2 linked regions of the Caenorhabditis elegans genome follow. The protein of the gene in region 1 purifies or fractionates together with the protein of each later gene. This does not show direct contact. Each region holds a gene or a part of one and is shown in the gene's direction. Other genes may lie near its edges.

What was found. Proteins that work in one complex are often made in the same cells at the same time.
Region 2: the proteins of fkb-6 (region 1) and sdz-8 fractionate together in Caenorhabditis elegans (co-fractionation; one large-scale study listed by BioGRID). This does not show direct contact.

The regions. Positions count from the first base shown.
Region 1 is NC_003283.11:20,843,313-20,849,421, forward strand, and holds fkb-6 (peptidylprolyl isomerase), read left to right. Parts: upstream 1-2,845; 5' UTR 2,846-2,867; coding exon 2,868-3,081; intron 3,082-3,125; coding exon 3,126-4,024; intron 4,025-4,072; coding exon 4,073-4,255; 3' UTR 4,256-4,415; downstream 4,416-6,109. Other genes in the region: F31D4.2 (Sugar phosphate phosphatase), read right to left, coding at 1-283, 784-940, 1,595-1,749, 1,793-1,945, 1,997-2,102, 2,156-2,214; clec-264 (C-type lectin domain-containing protein), read right to left, coding at 4,436-4,598, 4,652-4,870, 5,550-5,879.
Region 2 is NC_003283.11:11,513,901-11,519,544, reverse strand, and holds sdz-8 (C-factor), read left to right. Parts: upstream 1-3,353; 5' UTR 3,354-3,366; coding exon 3,367-3,495; intron 3,496-3,546; coding exon 3,547-3,714; intron 3,715-3,877; coding exon 3,878-4,231; intron 4,232-4,290; coding exon 4,291-4,392; 3' UTR 4,393-4,459; downstream 4,460-5,644. Other genes in the region: C55A6.7 (DeHydrogenases, Short chain), read left to right, coding at 1-61; C55A6.4 (DeHydrogenases, Short chain), read left to right, coding at 1,784-1,912, 1,967-2,134, 2,343-2,696, 2,741-2,842; C55A6.6 (DeHydrogenases, Short chain), read left to right, coding at 4,815-4,943, 4,991-5,158, 5,210-5,563, 5,611-5,644.

The DNA.
Region 1 (6,109 bases):
TCCAATCGAGATCAGGTTTAGTGACGTCACTCACGAACCACGGGATCGCTTTTCCATGAATTACAACTTTATCGGCAAAACCACGAGAGATGAAAAACTCGGCGACGATCAGGTCTCCAGTCAATTCGACTCCAGAATTATCGAGAATTATGTCGATTCTTCGATTAGTTTCGTGATTTGCATTGATTTTTAATGGACCAAGAACCTTCACAATCATATCGTTGACATCGTCGATAAGTACGAAATCTGCTAGTTTTGAAGAAGCCGACATTGATGACATCGCCTGTAAATAGGTAACAAAATTTGTTAATAGAATTCATTTTCAGGTTCCAAACATTGGTGTGCGGATAACCGATTTTTCGGCAAACGGATAAATCGGTTAATGCTGGTTTAGAAAAACCGGCTAACGGATAATTCGGCAATTTCAGAAAATATTCATATGGTTAAGCTTTTTTTCGTTCTTTCTGTCAATTCAGGTTTTGGGTTAATTTTTTCACTGTTATTGAGCAAAACCAAAAAAAATCAAATAGAAAAAAACTCATATAAATTCAAAAAATTTTGTTTTCCAAAAAAATGTGTTGGCTAACATCAGCCAAAGTCGGCTACCGGAAAACTTTAAATTAGCCAAACTGCCAAAAAGTCCGCGAATTCGGCTAATTGGTAAAAAACTCGGCAAGCAGATCATTCGGCTAATATTAGCCAAATCAGCCAATCGGTAAATTCGGCTAAATCAGTTATTAGCCGCACACCCCTGGTTTCAAACTGTTCCGCATAATAATTTACCAAGGTATGATCGTCTCCACCAGTCAATGACATATCAGCTCGGTTTCCCCACAAGCTCATTTTCAGTATTGTGTTGATTCCGAATAGTTCATGAACTGGAGCATCTTTCGCTGAGATTTTATTGATAAATGCCGCCGACTCTTCGATTTGTGGGAGGCTGAAATGATTATTTTCAACTTTTCGATGAGAAAATAAATTTTGTGATTTTTTCCACCAAAAATACTTTTTGTTATTGCAAACAAAAGTGTGCGCCTTTAAAAAGTACTGTAATTTCAAACATTTTTTCCTGTCTAATTTTGATCGATTTTTTTAATGCTTTTTGATAGAAATGCATTTATTATTGAAAATTTCGAAATTGAAAATTTCCGGCAAATGGGCAAACCGGCAGATTGCCGAAAATTTTGGGCAAATTGTACGCATCCTATGAATGTTCATAGATCTATTGTGAAAAGTAAACAAATTCTATAAAAATAGCTGAAGAAAACGGAAAAAATTATATAAAGGCACAGTTTTAAGTGTTTCCGTCTTATAAAAAATCTCTCTGAGCATTTTCGGCAAATCGACAAGCCGGCAAATTGCCGGAAAAGAGAATTTCCGGCAAATCGGCAAACCGACATTTGTCGGAATTGAAAATTTGCGGCAAATGTGCAATTTGACAAACATTAAAATTTCTGGCAAACCGGCAATTTGCTGATTTGCCGAACGGTAATTGCCGCCCACCACTGAATCAGAGTACTCCTATAGTTTTGGATTACTGATAAAAACCAATTTTTCTTCTAAACAATCGAATTGCCACAGAAAAAATTCTTACTGATCTAGGAAATTTTTGCGCTTCGAGTCCTGGAAATAATCATATTCGCTGAGGCGAATAGTTTTTGCAAACGTGCTCCAGATGAATCTGTAGAGCCAGCACTCAACAAAAAGCCATGGTCCTTTGAAAAAAGTGAGATCTTCAACTTCGTCGGGCTGAAAAAATCATTAATTAATTGAATTCAAGAGAATTATTTACCATTGCAGCAGTTCTCATGTCGCTGAGCAAATTTCTCCACATTTCAGAATCCAACTGGGTGTCCATTAGATTGCAAAGTGGCTTGTCAGTCATGATTTCATATCGAAGCTTTGAAAAAACTTCTAAAATAGCTGCAATATCTGATTCAACTTCCTGAAAGAAAATACAATTATAATTTGATTTTAATTCAATATATTTACGAACACTGCCATATTTCTCAATAAGGCTCGCTCTTTTTTGAGCCAATTGATCGACTAGCCCAGTAACAATCTTCGGCCATCGGTCTCTTACAGTGTAATAGGCGAACGTGCTGAAAAATTGTAATTTACAAACTTTAAAGTCGAAAAATCAATAGAAACCAACCCCTCCTTCTTCCCGCGTAGTTTCGGCGCCAAGTGATCGTACTCGTCGGCGTTCTCCATCACTCACAGAGGTTTTATTACTGAAAATTGAGTTTTCATACAATTTTCGACTGAAAAACGTTAAGAAACATGAAAAATTCCAAGGAAATCGATGTGCCTCGAAAAATCGAACATTTTGGGGTACGGTCAACAATGGCAAACGGCGTTTTCTGTGCAAACACGCGCAAGTGAGTTGCGTACTTGGCGCTCTAAATGACGCGCAAAGAATTGGAATGTTCTAGAGCTCACTTTACGTGATTTTCAAGTTATATGAAGTAATTTTACGTTAATCTCATTCGAATTTACTTTTTTCTGCTGCGTTCTCTTATTGATGTTCGCCTACCGTCATTGTTCAGATCAGGGCTGCGCGACGAACACACAAAACGGCTTATCCAAAGTTAATGTAGAGATGTAGAAAAATATTTGTTCCAGCTTAAAATGGCCTTCAAAAAAGCCTTCAAAAACGCTTCAAATAGTGCTTGAATGTGTCTTTTTGTAGCTTTTCAACAAAAGTAAATGTTATTTTCAGATAGAACAAAGCTTTTTCTACATTTCTACATTAATTTTGAAATAAGCAGTTTTGTGCGTTTTCTGGAAAAAGCGCCGCACAGCCCTGGTTCAGATTTCAATAACTTTATTTTAATATTTTCAGGTAAATTAGCGAGATTCGCAAGATGTCCGGCGAAAAGATCGATATCACCCCAAAGAAGGACGGTGGAGTGTTGAAACTCATCAAGAAGGAGGGTCAAGGAGTTGTCAAGCCAACCACTGGAACGACCGTGAAGGTGCATTACGTCGGAACTCTTGAGAATGGAACCAAATTCGATTCATCCAGAGATCGCGGTGATCAATTCTCATTCAATTTGGGAAGAGGAAATGTGATTAAAGGTATTCAGAGTAATGTTAGCGTGTAGAAAATCATCAATTTCCAGGTTGGGATCTCGGTGTTGCCACAATGACCAAAGGCGAGGTGGCGGAATTCACAATTCGCTCGGATTATGGATATGGAGACGCGGGATCACCACCGAAGATTCCAGGAGGGGCAACGCTGATCTTCGAAGTGGAGCTTTTTGAATGGAGCGCCGAGGATATCTCTCCGGACAGGGATGGGACGATTCTTAGAACGATTATCGTCGAAGGATCCAAAAACTCTTTCCCAAATGACACCAGCAAGGTTTTGGCACATTGCGTCGGAACCTATCAAGGCACGGAGTTCTACAATCGTGAAGTGAACTTCCACATCGGAGAAGGTTCGGAAGAAGGCCTTCCGGAAGGTGTCGAGCGGGCTTTGCGTCGTTTCCAGCTTGGAGAAAAGTCAAAAATTGAAATTCGCGGTCATAAGTACACCTACGGAAACTCTCCACCTGCTGGATCAAATATTCCAGTCAATGCTACTCTTGAATTCACAATTTTCCTGAAGGAGTTCGAAAAAGTTCCAGCGACTTGGGAAATGACTGCAGAGGAGAAGCTTGATGCTGCGAAACAAGCCAAAGATCGTGGAACCATGTACTTGCAGAAGGGAAATCTCAAATTGGCCTACAACAAGTACAAGCGGGCCGAGGAAGTGTTGGAGTATGAAAAGTCAACTGATCCCGAGAAGATGGCCGAAAGAGAGACAATTTTGAACGGAGCGTATCTTAATTTGAGTCTGGTTTGTTCGAAGCAAAACGAGCAATTGGAGTGCATCAAGTGGTGCGATAAGGTCCTGGAAACGAAACCAGGAAACGTCAAGGCACTGTATCGCAAAGCAACTGCCCTCTTGACCATGAACGAAGTCCGAGATGCCATGAAGTTGTTCGAGAAGATTGTGGAAGTAGAGCCGGAGAATAAGGTTTGCAGGAAATCTGTTGAGTTTATAATTTGTAATATATTAATTCAGGCCGCCGCTCAACAAATCATCGTCTGCCGTAACACGATCCGCGAGCAAAACGAGCGTGACAAGAAGCGCTTCAAGAATCTATTCGCCAAAATCTCCACAGAAGAAGACAAGCCAACCAACACTGTTGAGGATGAAGATGAAATCGTTGCATCCACGTCTGGAAGCTCTACTTCCAATGCTTAGATAACCTCTCTCTCCCAGTATCCCCTATTTATTCGTAATGTGTTTTCATTGTGATCTCTCTTCCCCAGAATTCAAGCTATTGTTTTCCCTTTTATTGATATCGCATATCATGGTAGTTGTATACTGTAATATTTATTTAAATTAAGATTTATTGCTCTGTACATGTACAATCCAGTCAGGTTAGATAATTATTTCGTCTCCCAGGTTCCCATCCGGAATACAATTGTATTCAAAGGCCCAGTGGTTAGATGCATTGAACTGCTCTCCGGTGTCATAAGAGATGAACATCGAGTTCTGCGTAGTTTTTATGAGATCCACAGAGCTTGGAGAGAATTGACGGAATCTATAATCACTTTTTAATTCTTTAAAATTACAATTTCAATCAAAGTCACTCACATTTTCAACTTTCCCGCGGTTTCATCGTTTCCATTAAATATCTTGACTCGATCGGATTTATCCAGCTGCATCGCCTTCAATTTCAGTGCCACGTGATGAGCAATTGGACATTGAATGAGATAGTATTGGATGAGGAAGGAATCCGGAGAATTTGGATAATTGTTCGATGTAACTGTGCCAAAAGAGTTCGATGAGAACACTTTCACAGGAAGTGGACGTCTGGAAATTGAAGATTTTCGGATAAAATTCAAAATCGAATTTTTTGAACTGGATTTGAAAAAAAATTCGAAAATTTCTAAAACCATCGACTTTATTACATGAACACAGAATTCTGAGAATGCGTATTGCACAACATATTTGACGCGTAAAATATCTCGTCACGAAAACTACAGTGATTCTTTAAATGACTATAGTATACTGTAGCGCTTGTGTGTCGATTTACGGGCTCATTCGTTTCTTCGCATTATTTTCTAATTATTAACTTAATTTCAATACTTTTTCGATAAATAAATGTGTTTTAATCCATTTGAGCTCGTAAATCGACACAAGCGCTACAGTAGACATTTAAAAAATTACTGTAGGTTTCGCTACGAGATATTTCAAATATGTTGCGCAATACGTATTCTCAGAATTTTGTGTGTGTGTGTTTTTTTTTAGTAATATCTGAACATTAAAAAAAATTGAAATGTTTTCTTTATATTGAAATTTTTCTGAAGAAAACGGAAAACGGAACTTTAAAAAAGATGTTCCTTTTTGGGAAATCGAGTATTTTCAGTTTTCTGAAAAAAAAACAAAAAAAATTTAATTTTCTGAAAATAGCAGAAAAAGAAGAAAAAACTTTTTTTTGAAAACCTAAAGTAAAAAATTAATAAAACTAATGAAAAGTGTATAAACCTACAGTATCTTGTATCTCATAACGAAACCTTTTCCAATATTATCCTCATCAGACTTGAAATTAATCATAACATGATTTCGATTACTGATAACTGAGTGATTACGATGTGAACCAGAAAGACGGAAAAGTGTTCTTCCAGAAATACCGTAATCATCAGTTACGGTAATAATATCACAATTATGTTCTGTATCCACTTCTTCAAAATACATTAATATTCTTGTTCCAGGCTCTGACTTTATAATGTGTGTATCATATTCCAGATTTTCATACGAATTTGGCCAATTTGGACTGACGATTGTGCCCTCTTCGTCTCTGTGCCACGTGGTTATTATCCTGAACTTTTTTTTAAATTTTAGATTTGGATTTTTATGTTCATTTGGTTCGAATAATTATATTTAGAATTGTGTGAATGTACGATGCTCGTGAACTCCACGAGAAAAAGATGTGCGCCTTTAAATGGTACTGTAACTTCAAACTATCATTTATTAGAAATATTCATCGATTATGTAGTTTTTATCCCTACTTTGCCGAACTGCATAGAGGTTTTATTGTTATTTTTAAAT
Region 2 (5,644 bases), 9.3 Mb from region 1:
ACTAGGAGCAACACACAATGGCGGATATTTCCGAAGAGATCTTTCAATTATTCCGTATTAAAGTTTTCAGCCCTTTTTTATCCATTTAATGATTGTTGTACGACTGATTTACTTTCACTGTGTTCTTCTTGGTTTTATTTAAATCTGTATTGTTTATGTGTTGTATCAAACTTCTTAGAAACTTCTTTCTGATAAAGTATTGAAATAGAATTAACATTGAAGTAAACAATCAGATATGGGGACCTAAAAGATCAAGATGCAAAAATTTCAAAATTTGGTGCAATAAGCGGCAGGATTTGAAGCATATCGAATGATCATATCTCTTGAACGTTTCAAATCACGAAAAATCTGACGATCCGAGAAGCCTTGAGATAATTTTGCACAATTTGTCCTTTTTCGTAGTCAGTTAAAGTTATTCCACGACACATAGCTGTAAAAACACAAACGAGCATGAAACCTAACGTTTAGCAAAAAAAAATTGCAAAAAAAAACGAAAAAAGAAAACAAAAACCAAGGGTGGCCGTATCATTTTGTGGATTTTTTTATATGGTTTTTCATCAAAAAATGGTTTATCTTTTTTTACGAACGGTTCATGTATATTTCCAATACTTATCTGAAAGTTAGCCAGTACAGCGAACATTTTCACAAGAAACTATGTTTTGCTATCTCAACCCAGTTTTGAGTTATACCAAAATTTGGGGGTGGCCGTATCATTATGTGGAGCACTGTATATTTGTGATTTATGTAGCGAAATGACCAAACCTCTTTGATTTACCTAGTTTCTCTCATCTCAACAGTTCATTGGCAAACTCAGGTTTTCACTTCTTAATGAGAATTTATAGGATCTCAGAATTATCAAGGATCCCCGGATCCACATTCTTCCCTTGACAGTGACTTGTGATAAATCAATTGATGATTTTGTGATCAAAGTTGGAGAAATTGTTGGATCGGAGGGTCTCAATTTGCTTGTTAATAATGCAGGGATAATCACCAAATACAATAACAAATCGGTTCGTTAATTATTGGTTGAGATGATTAAACTTTTAATATTTTCAGGAGCCAAACCGTTCATTGATTGCCAATCAACTTGATGTCAACACTACAAGTGTAGTTTAAAAAAAAACATCAACTTTCCCTCCAGATGTGCTAGCATACAGAATGAGCAAGGCTGCAGTTAATATGTTTGGTAGAACATTGGCAATTGATCTGAAAGATGATCATATTTTGGTGGTCAACTTCTGTCCAGGATGGGTTCAAACTGGATTAGGAGGACCACTGGCTACCTACACTGTAAGTGATTCTTACACTTTAGCTCTTAATTTTCACAAATTTTGCTTTTAGGTTGAAGAATCAACAACAGAGTTAACTGCCAGTTTCTACAAACTAAACAACTCTCACAGTGGAAGATACTTTGACAGAAACCTCAATCCACACTCATTCTAAAAACATTGAGAGTTTTCTGTTTCTCAAACAGTCATAAAGTTATGTCATTTTTTTCATGATTCAAGACTTTTCAATCAGTCTCAATAAACGGATGACATTTTGTTTGTTTCCAGTTATCACTCTACACTTTTTTCTTTTTTCGGAAAATCAATGTCATCTATTTTCTGACCTTCGATCGCTGAGAATAAGTGTTTCGCGAGAAGATGCAAACTGTTTGTGTTTTAACGTGGAGATTTTTTTTGAACTATTTTTCCCGTGAGCTTTTATGTGGTGAATTTTGTTCCACGTTAACATGTCTTGTTATATTCCTTTCGATTAGTCTGATTTTTCGTCCTCAGTCATGTCTCCAAAAAGTGTTGTCATTACTGGAGCAAATCGTGGAATCGGACTTGGACTTGTTCAAGAATTCGTGAAAGATAAGAATATTCGTCATATTATTGCAACTGCTAGAGATGTTGAGAAAGCAACAGTAAGTTAATTTTTTTTTCAATGTCTGATATTTCGGGCACAAAAAACGTTTCAGGATTTGAAAGCAATTAGTGATCCTCGTGTTACTGCTCTCCAATTGGAAGTTACTTGTGATAAATCAATGGATACTTTTGTCTCAAAAGTTGAAGAAATTGTTGGATCTGATGGACTTAACCTGCTTGTCAATAATGCGGGAAACGCGGTGGATTATCCATGTAAAGCGGTATGTTTAAAAAAAGTTCGGGTACAAGATTAAATTAGGAAATGGATTAGTTGACTATTTCCAAAGCTCACTAACAGTGAAGATTTGTCAACGTGTTGTCCAATTTTTTCTGAAAGTTTTCAAACACAATCAATTTTACATTATTCGGGTGATAGTCGGGGAAGAAATACACAGATATAATTTATCCATTAAAATATCAAATTTTCAGAAACCAAACCGTGCACTGTTTGCCGAGCAGCTGAATGTGAACACGACCAGTGTGGTTATTCTCACTCAAAAACTGATGCCACTTCTCATCAAGGCATCCTCAAAAGTGTCTGGAGATCAACTTTCCGCTTCACGTGCTGCTGTAGTCACTATCTCATCTGGACTTGCATCAATGACTGATTTTGCCACAGGAGGCCATGCTCCAAATGCATTTGCTTACAGAATTAGCAAAGCTGCCATTAATATGTTTGGTAGAGCTCTTGCAAATGATATGAAAGATGATCATATTCTGGTAGCCAGTATTGGTCCTGGATGGGTGAAGACTGATATGGGAGGAGAGAAGGCCCTTTTGACGGTGAGCTTAGAAAGTTTTAAAATATAAATTAAATTAATTTCCAGGTTGAACAATCAACTGCCGAACTAGTGGCCAGCTTCAACAAGCTCAACAATTCTCACAATGGAGGATTCTTCCAAAAAGATCTCACACCGTATCCTTTTTAAGTGCATTTCTCGAAATACTCGTTTTCAAATAGGTTTTTCTCAATTCCAAAAAAATTAAATCCAAAACCACAAAATTTTGTGACCACTTTTTGTGACGAAAGATCAATTTGATTCAAAGCGTCCAATTGTTTAGTTTATTTCTATTGTAGATTCAATAAAAGTTTATGTAGTTTTTCTTGTATTTCAAAACATGTTTATTTTATTTTCTAAATATCGGCATATTTATTTGTTTTTCTAAATATAAATGTCTTCGTATTTACTTCAATACGGTGTAACTACAATGTCACTACGATGCCCGCGTCTCTCCAGCTGTCGCTATTTAGTCATCTATTTTACTCCAATGTCATCATTTTCGCTGTGGTCTCCTACATTTTGACCCTGGTGTTCTCCGTATATAAGAGACTTTTCTATATAGAAAAACAGATTTTGTGTCTTCAAATATCTCAAGCTTGTTTCTGCTTTTTTAATCATGGAAACAATAGTTTTGTTCTCAAATTATTCACTTTTACAGAAAATTTAAAAAAATGTCGCCAGGAAGTGTTGTTGTGACCGGAGCCAACCGTGGTATTGGACTTGGACTTGTCCAGCAACTCGTCAAAGATAAGAACATTCGTCATATTATTGCAACTGCTAGAGACGTTGAGAAGGCTACTGTAAGTTTTTTTTTCTACAAGTGAGCTAGTCATCCCAAAGTGTTTTTTTAGGAATTGAAATCTATTAAAGATTCACGTGTTCATGTACTTCCATTGACAGTCACTTGTGATAAATCACTTGACACTTTTGTGTCGAAAGTTGGAGAAATTGTTGGATCTGATGGGCTCAGCTTGCTGATAAATAACGCTGGAGTTCTGCTGAGCTACGGAACGAATACGGTACGTTATGATAGTTACATGTTATTTTTTCTTTGATTGTTTTTAAAAGTTGTTCAGTATTTGATTATTAACTAAAAAATAAGAATTTCGATTTCATTCAAAAGTATATTTCATTAGACATTTATGCATCTTATAATAATTATTAATATGGCCAATTTTGAAGGAGCCTAACCGTGCCGTCATCGCCGAACAACTAGATGTAAATACGACTAGTGTGGTCCTTCTCACTCAAAAGTTATTACCACTGCTCAAAAATGCAGCATCCAAAGAATCTGGAGATCAACTTTCCGTTTCACGTGCTGCTGTAATCACTATCTCATCTGGACTTGGTTCCATCACTGACAACACATCTGGATCTGCACAATTCCCAGTTCTCGCCTACAGAATGAGCAAAGCTGCTATCAATATGTTCGGAAGAACTCTTGCTGTTGACTTGAAGGATGATAATGTGTTGGTTGTTAACTTCTGTCCAGGATGGGTGCAAACCAATTTAGGAGGGAAGAATGCAGCACTCACGGTAAGTAAACGAATCGATTAATTATCAGTTTAGAAATTGTTATTCCGATCATTTTTCAGGTTGAACAATCCACCGCCGAGCTGATTTCCAGTTTCAATAAGCTTGACAACTCTCACAATGGAAGATTCTTTATGAGAAATTTGAAGCCATATGAATTCTAAAATCTTTTTATTTTTTTCCCACCTTTTTTGCATCGGAAGTTAATTGAAAATAAACAAACTAAAATTACCTTTTGTCGTTGTCGAAAACCAGTTTCTTACTATGGTAAATTGCCATGAAAACTATTTTCATCAATTTTCAATGTTTGTGTGCAATTTACAATTGGAAAATGAACTAGGAAAGCCATTTCAATAATTTTTTGTGGGAAGTGTTTGTTTCCTTTTGACTACAAACGAACTACAGATTTTGTTTCATTTTCTGTGCCTCTTCCTCTATTTCTATTTACTTTGTTGCTCGTCTATGCCATTTTTTGAGACTTTCTGTTGCCTCTTCCTTTCCGATCTTTGACCAATTTTGTATACAAGTTCAATTAGTTCTCCCCAAAGACAGTCTGATTAATTAAATTCAGGTATTCAGGTTCATTATGTCTCCAAAAAGTGTTGTCATTACTGGAGCAAATCGTGGAATCGGACTTGGACTTGTTCAAGAATTCGTGAAAGATAAGAATATTCTTCATATTATTGCAACTGTTAGAGATGTTGAAAAGGCTACTGTAAGTGATTATTACATTTTGAGCTAAATATTATTCTCAATATTCAGGATTTAAAAGCTATCAATGATCCACATGTTCATGTTCTTCCATTGATAGTAACTTGTGATAAATCAATTGATTCTTTTGTGACAAAAGTTGAAGAAATAGTTGGATCTGATGGACTCAATTTACTTGTCAACAACGCGGGAATTGCTGTCAAATATCTCACAAAAACTGTACGTTTTGAAAATGTATGACATTCTTCAGTTATCCTTTGTCCTACTCAGAAACCAAACCGTTCAATGATTGCTGAGCAACTAGATGTCAACACAACAAGTGTTGTGATACTAACTCAAAAACTATTACCACTTTTAACAAGAGCTGCATCCAAAGTTTCTGGAGATCAACTTTCCGTTTCACGTGCTGCTGTAATCACTATCTCATCTGGACTCGGATCAATTACTGAAAACACTACAGGATCAGCAGTATTCGATAGTTTGGCATACAGAATGAGTAAGGCTGCAGTTAATATGTTTGGTAGGACTTTGGCAATTGATCTGCAAGATGATCACATTTTGGTGGTTAACTTTTGTCCAGGATGGGTTCAAACTGATATGGGAGGGCAAGAAGCGATGCTCACTGTGAGTGAGGTTTTTTTTAGTCTGACACTTATCGAACTAATTTTCAGGTAGAGCAGTCCACTTCTGAACTAGTTTCCAGTT